Linked DNA regions of Saccharomyces cerevisiae S288C. Changing the gene in region 1 together with any one later gene gives a genetic interaction. Each region holds a gene or a part of one and is shown in the gene's direction. Other genes may lie near its edges.

Region 1 (5,869 bases):
ATAATCACGATATTATTTCAATGTTCAGTTATAACCATCTGGCACATAGTACGGTGAATTTCTCTTCAATCCTAACATCAGTAATGCTTTTCGGACCTCCAACCGTCTTTCCTTTGCATTCACAGTCTTTCCCTGACAAGAGCCCTGCTACTATTGACCCTACAGAGACCTTCTTGTGGCGAATTGTTGCTCTTTTTACTTTCTTACTGATGTAAGTTAATTAGAAGGAGTGATATCTGTAAGAGTGGAAATTAAGCGCCCATCTTTTTTATAATGTTGGCTGAACAGATATCCGGGTAAATGTTACTTTAACGAGTTTTTTTCTTTTGTCATATTTTCCAACAAGAGATTAATGAACATTTCTCGATGTAGCGTACATATTTATGTGTACAAGAAGTGGTGTGTGTTGATACTGCACTGTTTTATACAAGTTTTTATACTGCATATCCATATAGAATTGATGAAAATCTTCCATACTGTCGAAGAAGTTGTTCAATGGAGAACACAGGAGCTGAGGGAAACTAGATTTAGAGAAACTATTGGGTTCGTTCCCACAATGGGTTGCCTGCATTCGGGTCACGCTAGTTTGATCTCGCAGTCTGTGAAGGAAAACACCTATACTGTGGTCAGTATATTTGTAAATCCCTCCCAGTTTGCGCCAACGGAAGATCTAGATAACTATCCTCGAACTTTGCCAGACGACATCAAATTGCTTGAGTCGTTGAAGGTGGATGTTCTATTTGCTCCTAATGCACACGTGATGTATCCACAGGGAATTCCGCTCGACATAGAAGAGCAGAAAGGCCCTTTTGTTAGTGTTCTTGGATTGAGTGAAAAATTAGAGGGGAAGACGAGACCTAACTTCTTTAGGGGCGTGGCAACTGTCGTGACTAAACTATTCAATATCGTTATGGCGGATGTGGCTTATTTTGGGCAGAAGGACATTCAACAGTTCATTGTTTTACAGTGTATGGTGGACGAACTGTTTGTTAATACAAGGCTACAAATGATGCCTATTGTAAGAAACAATAATGGACTGGCTCTGAGTAGTAGAAACAAATATCTTTGTCCAGAGTCTTTAAAGATCTCTGAAAACCTTTACCGCGGGCTGAAAGCTGCGGAAAATGCTATTAGGAGACTAGCACCAGGGGGACGTCTCTCCAGATCAGAAATCATCGATACTGTGACTCAAATATGGGCACCCTACGTTGATTCCCACGATTTCAAAATCGACTATGTTTCCTTAGCAGATTTTAAGACTCTTGATGAACTCTCCGATGTTGAAAACACCAGCGAACAGCAGCCAATAGTCATTAGTTGTGCTGTATACGTGACTGACCGCGAAAAACCCGATACGGTCGTCAGACTAATAGATAACATCGTTATTTAAACTAGGTGATTGGGCCTTCCCGTGTCTGTGTTGCAGTATATACCACTCTTATACAGTATGCACGATATTCTTTTAAACCAACAACGGGATGATAGATTTCACGCTTGATGACTTTTTTTTTAGACGGCTGAAGGGACGACATCCCCATCGCTCAAAACACAAATATGGAAAGGACAAATCGTCTTTCACAGTTTGCATAGTAAAAGCAAAGTTTATACTACTTCAGCAAAGTTGAAGTTGTTTGGCACTTGTTTCGTGCTTTCTCAAATATCTTAGATCACCGTCTGTCTAGAGCATATATCTATTGTTTGACGCACCCCTTTTACAAAAAAAAAAAAAAGAAACAGATCTATTAAGTAATAAAAAAGTTATTTAGGAAATAAGGTGCAGTAAGCTTCCTGAGGCATAATCATTATACTTTTAAAATCTATATTTTTGGGTTATTGTTGAAATATTTTCTTACAAAGCCCATTTCTCGTTTTTGACAATTTTTCTTATCAGTTGTGACTTCTCTTATCGATAAGCAATATTGAAGTCCTAATCACAAAAGCAAAAAAAATCTGCCAGGAACAGTAAACATATGGTTTTGGAATACCAACAAAGGGAAGGTAAAGGATCCTCATCTAAAAGCATGCCACCTGATTCCTCGTCAACGACTATTCACACATGCTCTGAAGCACAAACTGGGGAAGACAAAGGCTTACTTGACCCTCATCTATCAGTATTGGAATTGTTGAGTAAGACAGGGCATTCGCCTTCGCCAATGGGACAGAACTTGGTTACGTCCATTGACATATCCGGCAACCACAATGTAAACGATAGTATATCAGGATCGTGGCAAGCCATTCAGCCTTTGGACTTGGGCGCTTCTTTCATCCCAGAAAGGTGCTCTTCTCAAACGACTAATGGAAGTATTCTATCATCTAGTGATACTTCTGAAGAAGAACAAGAGCTGCTTCAAGCGCCTGCTGCTGATATAATAAATATTATTAAACAAGGACAAGAAGGAGCAAATGTCGTTTCACCGTCTCATCCCTTTAAACAGTTACAGAAGATAATATCGCTGCCCTTGCCTGGTAAGGAAAAAACTCCTTTTAACGAGCAAGATGATGATGGTGATGAAGATGAGGCTTTTGAGGAAGATAGTGTGACGATAACAAAAAGCTTGACTTCTTCGACAAACTCTTTTGTTATGCCCAAACTATCACTAACACAAAAGAATCCAGTTTTTCGCCTTCTAATACTGGGAAGGACTGGTTCCAGCTTTTATCAATCAATACCAAAAGAATACCAATCTCTTTTTGAATTACCCAAATATCACGATTCCGCAACATTCCCGCAATATACGGGGATTGTCATAATTTTTCAGGAGCTGAGAGAGATGGTATCTCTGCTAAACAGGATCGTTCAATATTCTCAAGGCAAGCCTGTAATACCGATCTGCCAGCCTGGGCAAGTCATCCAAGTGAAAAACGTCCTGAAGTCATTCTTAAGGAATAAACTTGTTAAATTATTGTTTCCTCCAGTTGTTGTGACCAACAAAAGAGATTTGAAAAAAATGTTTCAAAGATTACAAGATTTATCCTTGGAATACGGAGAAGATGTGAATGAGGAAGATAATGATGACGAAGCTATACATACAAAGTCTCGGTCCTATTGTCGTAACAAAAAAGCCGAAAACTCAAAAAAGAAATCCCCTAAATCGAATAAAAAACCCAAGAGAAAGAAGCAGAAGTTCTTCACGAGCTGGTTCACTTGGGGCATTTCAATTACTATAGGAATTAGTTTTGGATGTTGTGTGACATACTTTGTCACTGCAGCATACGAACACCAAACAGTTAAGTCTTTAAGTTTGCGGCCCTCCATATTGGCCTCTTTACTTTCCTTAGATTCCTCTAGCGACACAATCAATACGCCCGCCACTGCATCTCCTTCTTCAACTGAGCAGTTTTTATGGTTTGATAAGGGTACGCTTCAGATAAACTTCCACTCCGATGGATTCATTATGAAAAGTCTTACCATAATCAAGGAGACTTGGGGCAAAATGAATACTTTTGTCTTGCATGCTCTTTCTAAACCTTTAAAATTTTTGGAGAACCTTAATAAAAGCTCTGAATTTTCCATTGATGAATCTAATCGGATTTTGGCACTGGGTTATATTCTATTGTAACCTTTTTCCAATATACACAAACATACACGTTCCTACTCACTTTTTTACTATCACTTCTGTTTCTCTCACTGCGTATCTATATTCCCCGTTTGGTTCCTTTCCTTAATTACATAGAAGCTTATCAAATATGAAAATTCTTTCATTATACAGGCAATTTTTTGTTTGGTTTCATAAATACATAAACAAACAGCTTATAAAATATTTCTTCTGTTAGCAAATTTAAGTTTCTTTATATATTCCTTACTTTCGCGTCTCAACACAAAAAAACAATTAAAAATCAACCATAGCGCATAGAGCGTATTCCGACGACTTCAAGGAAACTATCGCTGTAAATGTGAATGCATTTAGAAGTTACTATTATCGCCTTTGACATCATATTTGAAATATTCTACCTTCATGTACTTAAACGCCCAAATTACCCGATCTTTTTGCGCCGCGCGTTAATATTTCCTCTTCGCATTTTTTAGTGATTATTACTACATAAATTTGGGATTAATAGTTCATCGAAAACAGCACGAACAAAAGCCAACTCACTACATTTTAGCAGATTCCGTCCGGAGTTTTGATTCTGTCCTTGTTTGTTGTTTTCCATTTCCTACTACGAATTCTATAAAGACAGGTAACAGCAGTGGAGAAGATCTTATAGATCTATCATCCAATTATAATAAGCATAGAATTGAAATAAGAACACGTTGGGTATAATCTACTTTGTTTTGATTTAACAATACAAATGCGATTTGGCCTGCCATCAAAATTGGAACTCACTCCTCCGTTTAGGATAGGCATCCGAACTCAACTAACGGCACTAGTTAGTATAGTGGCTTTGGGCTCACTGATTATTCTGGCTGTAACGACAGGGGTCTATTTTACCTCGAACTATAAAAATTTAAGGTCCGATAGACTGTACATTGCCGCTCAGTTAAAGTCATCACAGATTGACCAAACTCTAAACTACTTATATTACCAGGCGTACTATTTGGCATCAAGAGACGCCCTGCAAAGCTCACTAACAAGTTACGTTGCAGGTAACAAGAGTGCAGATAATTGGGTAGATTCCTTGAGTGTGATTCAAAAATTTTTGAGCTCTTCAAACTTGTTTTATGTTGCTAAAGTTTACGATTCTTCATTTAATGCTGTTTTGAACGCTACGAATAATGGAACTGGTGATCTAATTCCAGAAGATGTTTTAGACAGTTTGTTCCCATTATCCACCGATACACCGCTACCTTCTTCACTGGAAACTATAGGTATATTGACGGATCCAGTACTAAATAGCACCGACTATTTGATGTCTATGTCTTTACCTATTTTTGCCAATCCTTCTATTATCTTGACTGATTCAAGGGTTTACGGATACATTACTATAATAATGTCGGCAGAGGGTCTGAAAAGTGTGTTCAACGATACAACTGCTTTAGAACATTCCACAATTGCCATTATTTCTGCAGTATATAATAGTCAAGGCAAAGCTTCAGGGTATCATTTTGTCTTTCCACCGTATGGATCACGATCAGACCTCCCGCAAAAAGTTTTTTCTATAAAAAATGATACATTCATTAGTAGCGCATTTAGAAACGGGAAGGGAGGGTCTTTGAAACAAACCAATATCCTTTCTACACGGAATACTGCTTTAGGCTATTCACCATGTTCGTTTAACCTAGTTAATTGGGTCGCGATAGTTTCACAGCCTGAGTCGGTTTTCCTTTCTCCAGCAACGAAACTAGCAAAAATCATCACCGGCACTGTCATCGCTATTGGTGTCTTTGTCATTTTGTTAACCCTTCCTCTAGCACACTGGGCAGTGCAACCAATTGTACGTCTACAAAAGGCAACTGAATTAATTACAGAGGGGAGAGGCCTTCGACCGAGCACCCCAAGAACGATAAGCAGAGCCAGTTCATTCAAAAGAGGATTTAGTTCTGGATTTGCTGTTCCTTCTTCGTTATTACAATTTAATACTGCTGAAGCTGGCAGCACCACAAGCGTAAGTGGCCATGGAGGCAGTGGCCATGGCAGTGGTGCAGCTTTTTCAGCAAATAGTAGCATGAAAAGCGCTATAAACCTTGGAAATGAGAAAATGTCACCTCCAGAGGAGGAGAACAAAATACCGAATAACCACACCGATGCTAAAATATCAATGGATGGCTCGCTAAATCACGATTTGCTTGGACCACATTCCTTGAGACATAATGACACTGACAGAAGTTCCAATAGATCTCACATTCTCACAACTTCTGCAAATTTAACTGAAGCTAGGCTACCAGATTATAGAAGACTATTTTCTGATGAACTTTCCGATTTAACAGAAA
Region 2 (5,890 bases), on another chromosome or scaffold:
GGTCACATTATCACTATGAAAGATAAGTATAGAAGATCTTCAATGTTAATGAAAAACGATCCATATGTAATAGTTATAGCCCCTGATACCGAGGGACGAGCCGTTGGAGATCTTTATGTTGATGATGGAGAAACTTTTGGCTACCAAAGAGGTGAGTACGTAGAAACTCAGTTCATTTTCGAAAACAATACCTTAAAAAATGTTCGAAGTCATATTCCCGAGAATTTGACAGGCATTCACCACAATACTTTGAGGAATACCAATATTGAAAAAATCATTATCGCAAAGAATAATTTACAACACAACATAACGTTGAAAGACAGTATTAAAGTCAAAAAAAATGGCGAAGAAAGTTCATTGCCGACTAGATCGTCATATGAGAATGATAATAAGATCACCATTCTTAACCTATCGCTTGACATAACTGAAGATTGGGAAGTTATTTTTTGAGGGAAAAAAACGAAGTGATATCTTTACATCTTTTTAGCTCTTTCTTACAAAGTAAACGTAAAAATATCCGTAAATATAACATATAACCATTATCTATAGAAAAAAAAGAACCGAAAATTGTGTCAGGCCCTACTTCCCGTGAGCTAACTTCATTCTTGTCGAAAACTTGACTAGGGTCGTCCAGTCGCAAAACATATCACATTTCGGACATTTCCCACCTCGAGGTATCAAATTTCTTCTCCCTACCATCAACTGTTCATCATCTAGAAAGTACCTGTGAAGACATTTCAAGTGGTTAACACACCCACAGTCTTTATTATTGCAAAGCGCTACAAACGGCTTCAGATTTTGCTCTTCAGACGTGTAGTCAATTTCTTTCTCACAAATTTCACATCGCACTACCCCTGTAGTTAGTTTCTTTTCGAAAGTTTCGAATATGTTTCTTTCATTTTCAATGACTTTAGTGTATACAGCTTCCACCACTTTTAAATTCTCATCACTATGATCCATGAGAACATCCACAGTTTTCTCCTTTGGTTCTTCAAGCGCATTTTCATTTATTTGTATATTAATCGGAAATCTGTCTCTTTCAATAAAAAATTTGTCCTGTTTCCAAACCTCCCAAGCCTTTATATTAAAAACCTCGACTATCAAGTTCATCCTTTGAAAAAATTCATGCTTTAAAAGTAACTTCATTAATGCAACTTTGTGATGTAAAGTTCTTCCACCTGCTTTATGCTTTACAACACGATCTTTTTCGGCAATATAATGCGTTTGGTACCCATGTTGCCATGCATGTTCAAACTGTAAAGCTGCTATCTTACTTGGGAAGCCCCGCACAATCATTATCATTTCCCAGGGCCTTGAACCGTCACGTTTGGTTCGATATGCCCCTCCAACAGCCAATTTCCCATTATGCTGCCTCAAACGTCGTACTGGGTTAGGAGTTGATCCAACGTAAAATGATTGCCTCTTGTTAATCGATTGTAGTAGATAACAACAATAAAAATCAGGAAACTGATGCTGCTGTATTTTCTGCGACATGGTACCTTTCTTATCTTTTTAATATTTTTTGAAAAAAGAGAACATTAATTTGACAATATTTTTTCGATGATAGAAGGGAATAAGTCATCAGTGGTATATATTAAAATTAAAAAGAAAAGCAAACGGCTCATCAAACAAAACCATAGAAGACAAGGCACTCTAATTACATTTCACACTCATGTTGAAATCTGCAAGCCAAAACTTTTTTAGAGCTTATTCTAGTAGAATTGGTCGATATGCTGCTACAGCATCAGGGAAACTGGCACAGTCTCGTTTATCGAATATACCCACTCCAAAAGCATTGAAGAAATTCCTCGATGAGTACATTGTTGGTCAAGAGATTGGTAAGAAGGTTTTAAGCGTGGCAGTTTATAATCACTATTTAAGAATCAATGACAAGCAAAAGAAAGGGGAATTACAAAGGCAGAGAGAATTGATGGAACGAGAGAAAATCGCGGATGATAGGGATGAACCAATTTTCAGTGGAAACAGCGAATCAAAGGCTGGTTGGAGGAATCTTCAAAGACAGTTTAATTTAGCAGGTAGAGAGGTTGACGAAGATTTAGAGTTAAGCAAAAGTAATGTCCTTGTCGTTGGTCCCTCAGGTTCTGGTAAGACTTTGTTGGCAACAACATTGGCGAAAATATTAAACGTTCCAATTGCAATTACAGATTGTACACAATTGACTCAAGCAGGTTACATAGGTGAAGATGTTGAAGTATGCATTGAAAGATTGCTCGTAAATGCTGAATTTGATGTTGCGAGAGCAGAAAAAGGTATTATTGTTCTTGATGAGATTGATAAACTAGCCAAGCCTGCCGCAAGCATTGGCACTAAAGACGTGTCCGGAGAAGGGGTTCAACAGTCATTATTGAAAATCATTGAGGGCCATAAAGTGGAAATTACCGTTAAAAGGCCTGTTAAGCATGATATTGACGGACAAAAAAATCAAACTACAACAAAGAAGGACGAAGTATTTGTTGTAGACACTTCAAATATTCTTTTCATGATTATGGGAGCTTTTGTTGGTTTAGATAAGCATATTGTTAAAAGGATAGAAGATATGAAGAAAATACAGAAGGCAGGAGAGTCTGTTGAATCATCGAATAGTAAAGAAGTTGAAAAAGAAAGAGCGAAGAAGTTCAGATTTAGCAATACGCTTGAGCAGGTTGAATTAGATAACGGAAAAAAAGTGTGTGCTTTAGACTTGACCACCCCCACAGATTTAGTTAGCTTTGGTCTAATTCCTGAATTAATTGGCAGAGTCCCAATTATAACTGCTCTGCAGCCTCTACAAAGAGACGATTTATTTCATATATTAAAAGAACCTAAAAATGCCTTATTGGATCAATATGAATATATTTTTAAGCAATTTGGGGTAAGATTGTGTGTTACACAAAAGGCGCTAAAGAAAGTTGCTCAATTTGCTCTCAAGGAAGGAACTGGCGCCAGAGGGTTGAGAGGGATAATGGAAAGACTTCTGCTAAACGTTAATTATGATTGCCCGGGTTCTAACATAGCATACGTTTTAATCGACGAAGCTACTGTCGACTCGTTACAGGAAACAGAGCACTCTTTGGCTTCCCAAGTGGACGTAAAATACTATTCTGGTGATGAAAAGGACAGTTTAATTCGTGACGTTTCTGAAGAAGATAAAAAATTAGGAGTTATGCTAGAAAAAGAGTTGGGTCATTCTGCTAACATTCATACCCCAACAATTCCCAAGAGAAGCTTAACATAAAAAAAAATGAATGGTATAGAATATATAAATATAGATGTAATAAATGTAGTAAATGAACAAATAATCTTCCTACAAAGTACTATGCCATGGGAAGTAAAAAAAATTAATAAATATTGGCTAAAGTGTTTCAAATTGGTTCTACGATACTGGGAGACTACTCCTTATCATAATGCTTTTTGTCCAGTAGTAAAAATTGAAGTAATTCTTGAACAATTTAAAAAAAAATTGGAACGGCGGCACAATTATTTGGTATATGGCAGCTTTGGCTTTTGCGCCACCACATACAAAGTTCTAAAGCAGCCAGCGTTGTCATCGATTTTTCCTATGTGTTCTTCCACATATCTTTTGAAAAGAGTGGTGGGGTCGGTATCCTTTGGAGGACAACTACTATCTGGTAGTTGCCTCCTTAACATGTAGTCCCACATATCTAAAGAATTAAATTCATTCAAAAAGCCCATATCTGTTTTGAAGTCACCAGTTTTCAAACTTAGGACCGAGGACTTGATGCCTGTAAACCCTACATCCTTGAATGTCCTCGTTAAGTGTTTTGTAGGATGGATATGTAAGCCTTTATTTATCGCATCAATAGCCATAGCATCAAATGTCTTGTCCCGTTCTTTTGTAGTCAAAAACTCTTCTGATGAATTATTTGCTTTTTCGGCATCGGCGTTGCCAAGAATTCCAGTATAGTATGTGTTTGAAATCCTTAAATCTGGAACAATTGCCAGCGCGTACCCGCCAGGAATTATTGATCTGTATATTTCCCTAAGTAGAGCTTTCCATTTATAATAACTTAAACTTGTCCAGACCCACGGGCATATTACAGCAGGTATAGTGTCTGATGCAAACGGCAGTCTTAATTTTAAATATTCTTTACCATAAATAGCTGCGCTTTTTGCCCTGTCAAGTCCTTCATTTGGAAAGGAGTTATCCGAATTAGAGGATATTGGTGATGACAAAGGTGGTTCATCTTCAGGCTGAAGTTGTGCATTAGAGGACCTCTTCACTTCCTTTGGCAAAATAAATTGGGTCGGTAAATCGATTTCTTTGTAGTTGTTCAAAGTCCGGCAAAAAAAATTCTCCAACCATTCATTTTGATGTGCTTGGTTGGCTGATTTGACATGGGGAGCTTTCTCTGTCCGAGGGGGACTAGAGATATGTGACTGTGGTTGAATTTTTGGAGAAGAAGAAGAAGATATGCTAGGTGAAACTGAAGGGCTTGTAGTATGTGAAGTTGATGCAAGTTGAGAATGCTTTCTCTTGAAAAAGTTGACGAAACCAGATTTTTTAGTAGCCTTGGTAGGGCTCTTCTTCCTTTTGACAGCATCTGCTCCCGAGGACGGCAATGATAAAGATCTACTTGAAGCGAATTGGTCGTTTAGAGGGTCTTCCTCAACTCCCTGATTGAAGTTGTTTCTAGAAATACGTTCTTTTGCATCATCTGTAAAGAACTTTCTATTCATGCAATCATACATATACTCTGAAGCATTGGAAGAATTCAATTCGATAACTTCTTGTTCGTCAGAAACTATTTTCGCTCTTGAACCCTTTCGTGGCAAATAATTTTGTAAGTTTGTTAAATACTCAGGAGCAATTTCACTAGCATTCTTATTCTGAGCGTCATTGTCACTGCTGTCAATCATCCAGGGAGATAAATCTAATGCGAAATCTGCGATGTTCAAGCTTGGTTCATCATACGCCAGCTGCCAACCGCCCAGGGTTTTATGCAGCGGTCTTATTAATAAGATGTCAATTTCGTCTAATGGATCCGATATTACTGGCCTTGGAGAGTTTGCTTCTATATCTAACTGCTGAATATATAATGTAGGGTCACTGATCTTGTTGCTGGTGGTGCTGATTGTTGGATTAGAATGTTGTCTTGTGGTTGGTTTTCTTTTTATTAGTTCCTCCACTACTTCAGATGAAAAGAAGAATGAATTTGATTGCAGTAAAAATTTTTGAGATTGAGCCAACCATAATTGAATCAAGGATTCAATTTCAGAATAATCTTTTAACGGGTCAAACGATGGAAAGCATTTAACCTCAGTCTCTATATTTATGATGTTTTCAATGTTAAATGGATAACATTCAAATGCATATTTCCTAGATTCCAAATATTTTGTTAGGAAATCAATGTACGACCGTAATCTTTTCTTGGCAAATATTAAAGAGTCTTCTGGCGAGGAGTCCATGTTAAAAGATAGAAACAAGTCCATTCTATTAAAGAGCTCATTATGATTCGGGTCGTACATTATTTGTTTGAATTCACCGTCTATGCAAATGTTGATTAAATTATGATTTCCTGAAACGGTTTTGATTAGAAGAGAAGAATCTGATGCCGGTAAAGTGTTCCAGTCCCATTTTTTTCTAGAATGGAGTTTCTTGACAACGTTCGAAGTTGCACCGTGTAGACCACCACCTCCCCGGCCATTGCCGACCATATTGGATACAATGAATCGCGGTGCAGAAGGGTCTGGTGAGTAATTAGCTTTCACTTCGGAAGTCGGAGTTCCGCTTCTATGACTATGTTTATTATTACTTGTATGATGATGATGTAGACCTATTTTGGAAAGCTGAGCGGACTTCAGTTTGGATACTGAGGATGAGGCAGCGGAGTCAGATGATCGTCTTGACGAGTTTGAGAACAAGTCATCC
Region 3 (5,143 bases), on another chromosome or scaffold:
GTATATTTTCTTGAATAGGTTCTTCTCCATAGAATTGCCTCCTGAATTTAAATTCGAATGTGATTGGTCCTTCATTTCACTAAATTTCTTGATGAAGTGGTAAAGTTTTTTACGTGACATAATTGGATTTGGCAAGTATCGCGGTATCTTGTTTTTTGATCTGAAACAATTGGATAAAATGTAAAAAACGAAAATCACTGATGAGACACTATCTCTTCGTAGCGATAGTAAGGCTCTCGTGGTTTCAATATCAAAATCCTGATCCCAAATTTCAAAAAATGCACCTGAAATTCTCGCTTCAATGATCTTAGATAACAAAAATTGGCATGAATTGATTAGACTTGCGTACTTCTCAGGATTGAAGTTGGAAATAATGATTGGCTCATGACGGGCTTTCTTCAAAAGTTCCCTGATTGCTTCAAGACTTTGAGTCAGTCTAACTTCACGAATGTGGGAAAATGCGAAAGTTAAATCAGTAGGTGCGTCGTCGGCATCCCTGTATAAATACCGGTCCGCCACGGTTTGGTAGGACTGGCCCAAGTGTGCCAGTAATGATGACATACTATCTCTTAGTTCTGTCCTAGCTCTAAAGGGCCACACTATCCAGTTGATGGGAATCGAAACCAAAATACCGATAATAAGTGCCAAGCCTGTAACCCACGTAGATTTCCATATTCCAGCGGTGGTTAAGTTATAATGTCTATTAGGTTTGCTGTATGGTTCAAGAGCAATTATGGTAAAGCACATTAATGCAGTGAAGCTCGATTTGGTGTTTCTATAGACAAGAAAGTTGATGCTAAATGGGACCACGATCAGACCAGCAAACGTGCAAACCACGTATGGACTACCAAAATGTCTCGATTGGTTGGCAGCCCACCCCCAAAAGATACCTACTATACCACAGATTAATCTCCTCATTACCAACGCCCAGTTACCAGAGTATCTTCTATGTGCTAATAAGTAAAACGTGAGTGGGGCCCACCAACAATGAAATTCTTGGTACCAGTGATAGGATTCAGGTAGCCAAGTTGGTAGACACAAAAATATCATACAAAAAGTAATCTTTAGTGTCCACTTACATTCATCACCAGATAAAATTCTACTCAATTTCCATAGTTTAAATCTCCAAGGATTTTGAGTTGTATGAAAATTGAAGTCGTTGTGATCAATTGCTCTGATGGAAATAGTGTGGTTTTTGCGATTCTGTGACTTTTCGTCACCACCTTGTGAATCAAGTCTCAGCGCTTCTTCTTCGCCTTTGTTATACTTGTGTCTTGACGTGTAGGTGTTATAAACTCTTTCAAAAATTTCATCGACATCACGTTTGGCCTCAAAATAATGAAGAACATTTCCTGCACCTTCATCGAGAACACATTGTTTGGGCAATCTTGTCAACGCACGAGACAGTGGATATGATGGCAGAGCAATTCTCCAGTGAATATTCTCACCCAAAACTTGGCAATCGTGGATAACAGTAACTAGCTGCCTTGCGGAGTTTCTCAAATATCTTAGAAAAAGGAAAATATCGACAGACTCTTCGTCATTCAACAGTTCCTGTGAAAAAAAACTAGAATTCACAAAATCCCTGTAACAAACATCTAGTTTGTAAATTTTCCTCTTTAATTTAGAATGCGAGTGACTTAATATTTTGACACACTCATCTAAGTTGTTTTTTTGATTTGGAGACTCGTATTTCTTTAGTACTCTTGATAGATTTTCCAAAACGAAGATCATTTCCAGTATTAAGTTGAAGATGCTTTTCGAGAAGGACGCCTTTAATGCATTAATGTAGATTTCATTTTTTAAAAGCCCCGGACCGATAGGCTTAAAGGCACTGGGCGTGTTTTCTCTTGTTGGAATTCCTGAAGATTGAGGGCTAGCGCTTGCTTCTTTGCTCAGGGTCGCAGAATCCGATCTATACTTCTCCAATTCTTCATACATCTTTTTCAATTCATCATCATTAAAAATTTTGGGTGCAATGGGTAATACTCTCAGAGAAGTTTCCATGGCAGTTAAAGAATTTCTTAAACTCTTCAACGATTGAAGGTCAAACCTGGAAATTGTCAACTGATTTACAAAATCTCTAAAACCTTGAGATAAATCAATGTTTAGTGTTTTCACCATTTTTACTTGGGCTAGGTAAATTTGTTCTTTGGACTTTATTAATTCAGTATCTACTAGTGCCATTAAAAAGGTCTTTGTGGTCTGTAGACACTTGTTATAATGTTCCATTAACTCTGCATTGCCACTATGTGGTGATACACATACACAAACCAAGAGAGATAGCAAAAGGCCGAAGAGATATGAGATTCCAAAATCCCAAAAAATTTGCCACTTCAAATCAAACTTGGATGAGGCCAACCGAACTGTATGAGTGAATATAATCGATATCGAAAACGAAGTTGTGAAATAGAAGAACCGACGGTAAACAGACCTTAGCCAGATGGCAAATAAGAGGGCCATAGTCAGACTCTGAAATAAAATTCCTCCCTGGTAGTTTGCGGTCGGCTTTGTCGCTGTGGAAATGTACCATGCCAAAGCCGACCATCCCAGGCCAAAACTTGCGCCGATAATGGAGCTTATAGTCATTTCCAGTTGAACACCAATATTTCTGACCGGATGATGTATAAGTACTGCGATGGGTAGAAAATACCTGAACTCATGGCCAATCCACCTACCAGAAGGCCTGATAACGCAAATCACGATAGCAATGAAATAAGCAATAAAAAACTTGAATATGGATACCCCATTTTTTCTAATATCTCTAGGGAAATGAATAATGGGCCTGTAGATAGCAGTCCAAACATATTCGGAAAGCTTGGTAAAACCAGATTGCAGTTTTTTCCTTGCAGCGCCATTGTCGTCATCGATGTCGCTGTTAGGAGACCTAGCTTTGCTGTCCGGCTTGGTAAAAGCAGCATCAAAAAACCCATCTCTCAGCTCTTCCAGCCCAAAGTCCTCTACTTCCTCCCAGTGTTTGTCCTTAACCAAATTTTCCAGCCGCATTTGCGATAAGGATGCCACGGATTGTTGTGGGCTTCCTGCAAAGCTAAGCCCGCTTATACCGGCAGGATTCTTATAGTTAAGTTCATGTAGTGACCTGAGTGATGTTTGAGAGTATGAACCTTTCACAATATCAGGATCAGGAGTGGGACTTCGATCTCGCTCATATCTTTTCATGAGGACCTGTTACAATTCCAGCACTATACTGTACATGCTTTCCTTAGTGGAGCACAAAGCAAGTTAAAAATGAACTTTAAATTGATTAAAGTGTTAGTGACGCTTAAACTCGTTTTCCTGCGCGTATTTCACGCAATCTATACATAATCATCTTTGATAATGTTATATCGCCTTTCATTTCCAGATTTTGTTCACTGAAAAGTCTTATCGGAAACCTAACTTTGGGCGACAGGGTTATTGTTTATAATTTGTAGGTGTTCCATTTTTTTCTTTGTACTTTTTTAGGTTAACGTAATATTTAATTAGGTCATTTTTAGGGCGTTTAGTATTAGAAAAATTCATTTGTACACACTATTAAGAGGAAGGCAAACTATATTTACATTTTATTGAGGAAAAGGGTTCATCGAGGAGTTATCAAGAAAAGCGTTTGTTAGTAGTAGTTTGCGACAGTGGAGATGGCAGCTGCACCATGGTATATTAGACAGCGTGACACGGATTTATTGGGTAAATTCAAGTTCATACAGAATCAAGAAGACGGCAGATTAAGGGAAGCTACAAACGGAACGGTGAATTCACGATGGTCGTTGGGGGTCAGCATAGAACCTCGTAACGATGCTAGAAACAGATACGTTAACATTATGCCGTATGAGAGGAACCGCGTTCATTTGAAGACTCTATCCGGGAATGATTACATTAATGCCTCGTATGTCAAAGTGAACGTGCCAGGGCAGAGCATCGAACCGGGCTACTATATTGCTACTCAAGGTCCCACGCGTAAAACTTGGGATCAGTTTTGGCAAATGTGCTATCACAATTGTCCTTTAGACAATATTGTCATTGTGATGGTCACGCCTCTGGTAGAATACAATAGGGAGAAGTGCTACCAGTACTGGCCTCGCGGTGGTGTAGACGATACGGTTAGAATAGCATCAAAATGGGAAAGTCCGGGCGGCGCCAATGATATGACTCAATTTCCCTCTGATTTGAAAATAGAGTTTGTTAACGTACATAAGGTGAAGGACTATTATACGGTCACCGATATCAAACTCACACCCACGGACCCTCTTGTAGGACCTGTCAAAACTGTTCACCACTTTTACTTCGACCTTTGGAAAGATATGAACAAGCCAGAGGAAGTAGTACCCATAATGGAATTATGCGCTCACTCCCACAGCTTGAATTCCCGCGGGAACCCCATTATCGTACACTGTTCCGCAGGCGTGGGCAGAACGGGGACGTTCATTGCCCTAGATCATCTCATGCATGATACCTTGGATTTTAAAAATATTACAGAACGGTCAAGGCATTCAGACAGGGCTACAGAGGAGTACACACGGGACTTGATCGAACAGATCGTGTTACAGTTGCGCTCGCAAAGAATGAAAATGGTTCAGACAAAGGATCAGTTCCTATTTATCTACCATGCTGCCAAGTATCTTAACAGTCTTTCCGTGAACCAATAGACAGCTATATAAAAGTTCCTAATTGTGCATTTTTTCAATAACAATACTTATTCATCCTTATAATTATATTCTAGCTTCGTTGTCATGGGAACATAGCCCATACACCGCAGTTATTTATGATCATTTCGAACGGGAAGTATGGATGAATCTTTTTTTTTTTTTTTTTATAGCACGCAACTGAAAAAAAAAAAAAGAAAAATTTTTCATCTTCGCTCGACGTTTCTTTTGTAGTACTCATCTCTTTTTATATAAAGATTAATTAGTTATTGTCGCTTTGCTTTTCCTTCTTTAAAAAATGTTTCTTGCTTTTGGATTTTCAGATGTCCCAAGATCATTACAGTATTTTAATTGAACAAAATGGCTGAAGGTGTTTTCCAAGGTGCTATCGGTATCGATTTAGGTACAACCTACTCTTGTGTTGCTACTTACGAATCCTCCGTTGAAATTATTGCCAACGAACAAGGTAACAGAGTCACCCCATCTTTCGTTGCTTTCACTCC
Region 4 (6,314 bases), on another chromosome or scaffold:
ATCTGCATTAGGCTTTATACAACGAATATAATGAACATTAGTTGAGTTGATGGTATTCATTAGTTCAATCAAAGATTGCTTAAACATGGAACCTAAAGTGGGTTTCCTGTTAACCGTTCTTATCGGACCTGGCTTTTTACTGCCAGCCTGCTCTAATTCAAGCTTTTTCGCTTCTTCCAGTTTTTTGGCAGCTTTTTCTAATCCCTCTAAGATATTTATTAGTGTCTCGTTGGTAGAAGCCTTCAACACTTCCAAATGTCCGTCAGATACGGTGTCTCTATTTTTTTCAATAAATCCTTCCACATCATAAGCGACATCTAGAGCATAATGGCTCACGATAAATTTAGTTTGCCCGAATCTTGGTTTAGAAAATACTTTGTTCGTAGGAGATTTATCCAAAGTTTGATAAAGTTTTTGGGTCCAAGATTCGTCGGAACCAGCAGGTAACCTACTTTCTTCGTCAAGCAGTGATAAAATACCCAACTTGTTTTCAATCAGATCAATACAAGGTTGATTATCATTAAACTCTATAAAAGACCATTCAATTTCTTCTTTAACGTATTCTTCTTGCTCTAATTTGAAAACATGTTGGTTGAACTCTTGTTGTAGTTTTTCGTTGGCATAGTTAATACAAAATTGTTCAAATGAATTTTTTTCAAAATGTTCAAACCCATAAATATCCAGAACACCAATAAATGAGCTAATTTGGTCGTTCACAGCCGGGTTGCATAACACGGTGTTGATATTTTCCACAAGCCAATCGAAAAGGGCGGAATAAATAAACTTAGCCACGGAATCTTTGGCAACCAGAGCTTGACTATAATTTAGATTCGAAACAATTTTCTCTGACCTTGTAATGATCTGCTTTTTGGTGACCCATTTGGCAAAGTTGTAGGCATCAATTCCCAGCAATTCGCACGCCAGTTTCAGGTTTGGCTCATCAGCTGATAGTGATGCATCATTTCTAGTTTTTTTAATTTCTATGTTACCGATATGCAGAAGTGCGGCCAAGATCTTAAATATTTGGTGTTGAGTTTCCTTGGTGATTCCGACTAATGTCAATGCATCTACTGTAATTTTGTATTCTTTGGCATCATCAATACCGTTGATCTTGGTGTCACCGCCTTGGTTCATGTAGAAGTAATCTGAGGCATCGGTAAGATGCAATTCCTCCTTGGTTTGAGCTGGTAATCCAGCCATTAATTGATAAAATATGTGGTAGTTTCTCTCAATTGGCGGCTGGTAAACTAATCTGGACCGTTCCAACAAGTATGTGCGGATCCTTGCTCCAATAATAGATGTGTCCTTATCGAATAAAATTTCTAGATACTTACCAAATCTGGAAGAATTGTCATTTCTGGTAGTCTTAGCATTACCAAATGCTTCCATGATAGGGTTTGTAGCTAGAATCTTTTGTTCTGTTTCCGACATTTCCACTTGATGTTGTACAGTAGCGGAATTTTCCTCTTCTACAGAAGCAAAATAACGCATAATATACTTGGCAGAAACCGTTTTTCCAGCACCAGATTCACCACTTACCACAATGGTTTGATTTTGTTTGTCATTTTTCATCAACCTATACGCTTCTTCGGCAATGGCAAACAAGTGAGGTTCCAGTTCACCTCTGCGCTTTCCCGCATATGCTTGGATCATGTCTTGTGTATAAAGCTGGTCGACACGATCAAAAGGGTTTGTAGCAATCAGAACAATACCCGAGTATGTGTAGATATTCAATTGAGAATAGCGCTGTTTGATGGCATGTAAAACAGCTGGCTCATTCAAGTAAGATAAAGAGGTCAAATCTTCCGTTGCTTCCAAAATGGGAGGGTTTCTAAGAAGCGGTAGAGATTGGTCCTTATCGTTATTCAAGTCTTTTGTGTCCACGGACACGATTTCATCGTCTTCCAATTGTAACTCCAGGTGGTACTTGCCGTCGTTGAACTCATTTTTGATTACTTCCGCCCCAATCCAGCCCAATTCTTTATGGGGATACCAGCATCGTGTACCCACTTCAAAAGACATTATACGCTGTAATATCTGCTGTTTTTATGTCCTATATGTACAATGGTATAAGTATCGCTGTCCAATGGAATGGTGTCGAATAGTACCTTAGAAAACAAAAAACAAGCAAGCAGCCAGAAATCGAACGAATAATTTCAAGCGAGAAAAGTGAAATGACTTTGCGAGACTTTTTTGTTCTCTGATTGGCCTTGCAAAGTTGATAGATCTCTGAAACGCAGGCTACGAATCGTATCAAATGAAGGCGTGTTTGGGATTTCTGATATTTGGCTTTTCGAGAAGCGCGATCATAAACAAAAAAAAGGAAAAAATCACAAAATAGCCCTGGGTCGGGTAATAGTTTTTGCCCTACGTTTTCGTAAATGTGTCACTAGGTGCAATTGCCAATAATTAATTGTAACCTACTCAATATCTATTTTAGCCCTACATACGTTAGGGTCGAAAATCTGTTGGGGTTTTGGTTTTAACAGCGTAAACTAAACCAGATAAGCATCGAGAAACGGCGCTTGGCACATCGTATATCAACAAGACAAACCAGTGACCGGAGTTCTGAGGCGTCTTCGAGCCTATTTATTTATTGATCTGGGTCGGATAGTTCACCCTATTTGTGGAGGAAAAGACCTTCCCATATCTAAATTTTTTTTTTTTTTTGGTTTAAGTTATAGTTGATACATTAAGTGAAAATGAACTTGCTAATTGACCGGATGGAGAATCCCGGATCGAGGAACTGTACCCTGTTACCTCCTTCATTCCCAAGAGGCTTTTGTAAGGGAAGAAGGGCTTCCAGTGGCGACGCAGTGAAGATAAAAGAATCCGGTCTACAGCCGCAGCCGCAGCCGGAACCTCTACAAGCTAAAACAAATGTTGCACACTTTTCGAAATCATCTTCTAGATTACCTGTCATAGCAGTGAATGATAATCCGGTGGTCCCAAGACCAAGCACTGAAGTAAACTTGGGATCGTTGTTACAAAAGGAAAGGGAGAAAGAAAAGGAGGAACAGCCTGCGCTGCATGATAGGAGACATTTATATGTGACAAAGAATAGGGCACATGGGGTACGACAACGTTCATTGGAAATGACTAGCTTACCTGTCCTGGGATCGACCAAAACCGGGAAGTTTAGCGATTTTTTGTTTGAAGATGACATCGATAACAGAGTAGGTCGACACAGTAGATCATATAGTGGGGCATCCAGTTTGGATGATCCATTCAGAGTGTCGCCGAAAACCGACTTCAACTCTAATAGGGCCAGATTGTCTTGCCTTAGTAAAGGACGTCGTGGTTCGATGTCCGTTTTCCAAAGCTGTCATACTGGGCTAGCTTTCAATCAAATACAGGGTTCCTCCTCTTCGCAACGTAGATCATCCGCTGGTTCTTTTGATTATGAGAGGAAACGATTGGTTAACCAATTTTTACAGCCTTCTTTGGGAAATTCAGACCCATTTGATACGTTGAGGGAGTCGGTAGTGTTTGAGCCCTCATCCACCGCTGGCGGCATTAAATTAGGGAATATGCATTCTCAATCACAAATTTCCGTAAACTCCTCCCCCAGCACATCTTTGTTTTATCATGATTTGGACGGTTCTGCTGTCAACGATTCTTCGTCATTTCTGTATTCCCGTTCTAATGTACCAGCATTTTTGTCGTCATCAGCCTTTTCGTCCACGTCATCCACCTCATCAGATTCAGAAGATGTGGATAGAAGAAGTTTAAACGGTGTATATCCCTCTTTAGGATATTTGACTAACCAGAGGAAACCAAGGAATTCATCAGGCTCTTCCACTGCACCTGGCACCGATACCTTGGGATTTAAGTATTTACTGAATAGGCAGAAGTCAGCGGATTCTTCCACTAGGTTCAAGAGTGTACTGAAGGTGAACAATAATAATGGCTCCGCAGCCACTCCTGATTCTAGCTCAAACTCTATTTCGAAGAGCAACTCAAATTTGAATGATAACATTGATGAATTGAATTATTATCAAAATCATATTTCGACACTTCTAGTGAAGATCGAGAATGAGATGAGAAGAAATTTAAACGATACAATAATCAAGAATGAAAACAACGTTCAAAAAACTATCCAAAAGTATGATCTTCTATCAGGAGAGTTAACCCTTTTATTAGACGAAATGACCACCTTGCGAACCACGGTGATTAATCAATTCTTGGTCAAGTTGAAATCAGACTTTGACGAGGATGACAATAAGGCGTTTATTAATGAATTAAAGATATCAGTCGAAGAAAGTGTAGCGCAATTACAAGGATTGGAAAGGAGAATGGAGGTTTGCCAAGAGAGATTAAATAAACAAAAGTCCTCTCTAAGGGAAATGGATAGTTTGATAGAGCTGAAAAACGTGTTAAATAAATCGAAGAACAACACGAAATCCATCTACCTGTATAGGTATTTCATCATTGACATTATTGCATTTCTTTTGATGGGCGGCTTTATCGTTTACGTCAAGAATTTGTTAACTCGTTTTTTTACTCGTTAAAAAGTCAAAACAAGGTCACTTTACAAAAATGGTACGCGTACAAAGATAAAATCACCTCTGAACATAATAATATACATCTATATACATATATATATATATATATATCACACATCAATCAACGCGCATGGACATTTGAATCAATGGGGCAGGAAAGGCGATGCAGTGGCCAAATTTCTTTGTTCATTTGTGGCGTTGGGTCAATGAGTCAAAAAATGAAAAAAGTCGACAGACGTTTTTCAAAAAGCTTCAAGAAAAGAAGAGAAAAAGTAAAAGCGTATTGGTAAAAAGAGTAAGAACAAAAAGGAGCACAGGCAACCAATATAAAGATGTCCAGTTCACAACAAATAGCCAAAAATGCCCGTAAAGCAGGGAATATTTTGAAAACCATCTCAAACGAGGGCAGATCAGATATTTTATACAAAATTCACGATGCCCTGAAGGCTAATGCGCATGCCATTGAAGAAGCGAATAAAATCGATTTAGCTGTTGCCAAAGAGACTGGCCTAGCGGATTCTTTATTGAAACGTCTCGACCTATTTAAAGGGGACAAATTTGAAGTTATGTTACAAGGTATTAAGGATGTAGCCGAACTAGAAGACCCTGTTGGCAAGGTTAAAATGGCCAGGGAATTAGATGATGGCTTGACGTTGTACCAAGTAACCGCTCCAGTCGGCGTTTTGTTAGTTATCTTTGAATCCCGTCCAGAAGTTATTGCCAATATTACCGCATTGAGTATCAAGTCTGGTAATGCTGCAATTTTGAAGGGTGGTAAAGAGTCTGTGAACACGTTCAGAGAAATGGCAAAGATCGTTAACGACACCATTGCACAATTCCAAAGTGAGACTGGTGTTCCTGTGGGCTCTGTGCAATTGATCGAAACCAGACAGGATGTTTCCGACTTGTTGGATCAAGATGAGTACATCGACTTAGTTGTTCCTCGTGGTTCCAATGCCTTAGTCAGAAAAATCAAGGACACTACAAAAATTCCCGTGTTGGGTCATGCGGATGGTATCTGCTCAATTTACTTGGATGAAGACGCAGATTTGATTAAGGCAAAAAGAATTAGTTTGGATGCAAAGACTAACTACCCAGCTGGTTGCAACGCTATGGAAACGTTGTTGATTAACCCAAAATTCTCTAAGTGGTGGGAAGTTCTGGAAAACTTAACTTTGGAAGGCGGAGTGACTATCCACGCTACAAAAGATTTGAAAACTGCGTATTTTGATAAACTGAATGAGTTAGGGAAATTGACAGAAGCAATTCAATGCAAAACCGTTGATGCTGATGAGGAGCAAGATTTTGATAAGGAATTTTTATCCTTGGATTTGGCTGCCAAGTTTGTTACATCTACAGAATCGGCCATTCAACATATAAATACACACTCTTCGAGACATACCGACGCTATTGTAACGGAAAATAAAGCAAACGCTGAAAAATTTATGAAGGGTGTCGACTCCTCTGGTGTTTACTGGAATGCATCAACTAGATTTGCCGATGGTTTCAGGTACGGTTTTGGTGCTGAAGTGGGTATTTCTACCTCTAAGATTCACGCCCGTGGTCCAGTTGGCTTGGACGGTCTGGTGAGTTATCAATACCAAATAAGAGGTGACGGCCAGGTTGCTAGTGACTACCTTGGTGCTGGTGGTAACAAAGCTTTTGTTCACAAGGATTTAGATATAAAGACTGTGACATTATAAAAATTTTTAGGATAAAGCTAAGTTCCATGTATGAAGGACGTGTATACATAGTTCAGTAAAGCCATCAAATAAGTACTCTTGTCAACTCATTCTATGGTGTGATAGT

The links.
Region 2: mutations in ATG32 (region 1) and MCX1 together harm fitness more than expected from each alone (negative genetic interaction), as found in Saccharomyces cerevisiae (2 studies listed by BioGRID).
Region 3: mutations in ATG32 (region 1) and PTP1 together harm fitness more than expected from each alone (negative genetic interaction), as found in Saccharomyces cerevisiae (2 studies listed by BioGRID).
Region 4: mutations in ATG32 (region 1) and FRT1 together harm fitness more than expected from each alone (negative genetic interaction), as found in Saccharomyces cerevisiae (2 studies listed by BioGRID).

What each region holds. Positions count from the first base shown.
Region 1 is NC_001141.2:71,875-77,743, reverse strand, and holds ATG32 (mitophagy protein ATG32), read left to right. Parts: upstream 1-1,970; coding exon 1,971-3,560; downstream 3,561-5,869. Other genes in the region: pantoate--beta-alanine ligase PAN6, read left to right, coding at 461-1,390; SLN1 (histidine kinase), read left to right, coding at 4,291-5,869. UniProt on the Saccharomyces cerevisiae protein: Mitophagy-specific receptor that recruits the autophagic machinery to mitochondria and regulates selective degradation of mitochondria.
Region 2 is NC_001134.8:670,917-676,806, reverse strand, and holds MCX1 (Mcx1p), read left to right. Parts: upstream 1-1,672; coding exon 1,673-3,235; downstream 3,236-5,890. Other genes in the region: glucan 1,3-alpha-glucosidase ROT2, read left to right, coding at 1-450; SLX1 (endonuclease), read right to left, coding at 580-1,494; YBR225W (uncharacterized protein), read right to left, coding at 3,478-5,890. UniProt on the Saccharomyces cerevisiae protein: ATP-dependent unfoldase that stimulates the incorporation of the pyridoxal phosphate cofactor into 5-aminolevulinate synthase (HEM1), thereby activating 5-aminolevulinate (ALA) synthesis, the first step in heme biosynthesis. Up-regulates heme biosynthesis.
Region 3 is NC_001136.10:39,065-44,207, forward strand, and holds PTP1 (tyrosine protein phosphatase PTP1), read left to right. Parts: upstream 1-3,635; coding exon 3,636-4,643; downstream 4,644-5,143. Other genes in the region: BRE4 (Bre4p), read right to left, coding at 1-3,180; Hsp70 family ATPase SSB1, read left to right, coding at 5,001-5,143. UniProt on the Saccharomyces cerevisiae protein: Is not required for vegetative growth.
Region 4 is NC_001147.6:921,429-927,742, reverse strand, and holds FRT1 (Frt1p), read left to right. Parts: upstream 1-2,702; coding exon 2,703-4,511; downstream 4,512-6,314. Other genes in the region: MYO2 (myosin 2), read right to left, coding at 1-2,022; PRO2 (glutamate-5-semialdehyde dehydrogenase), read left to right, coding at 4,838-6,208.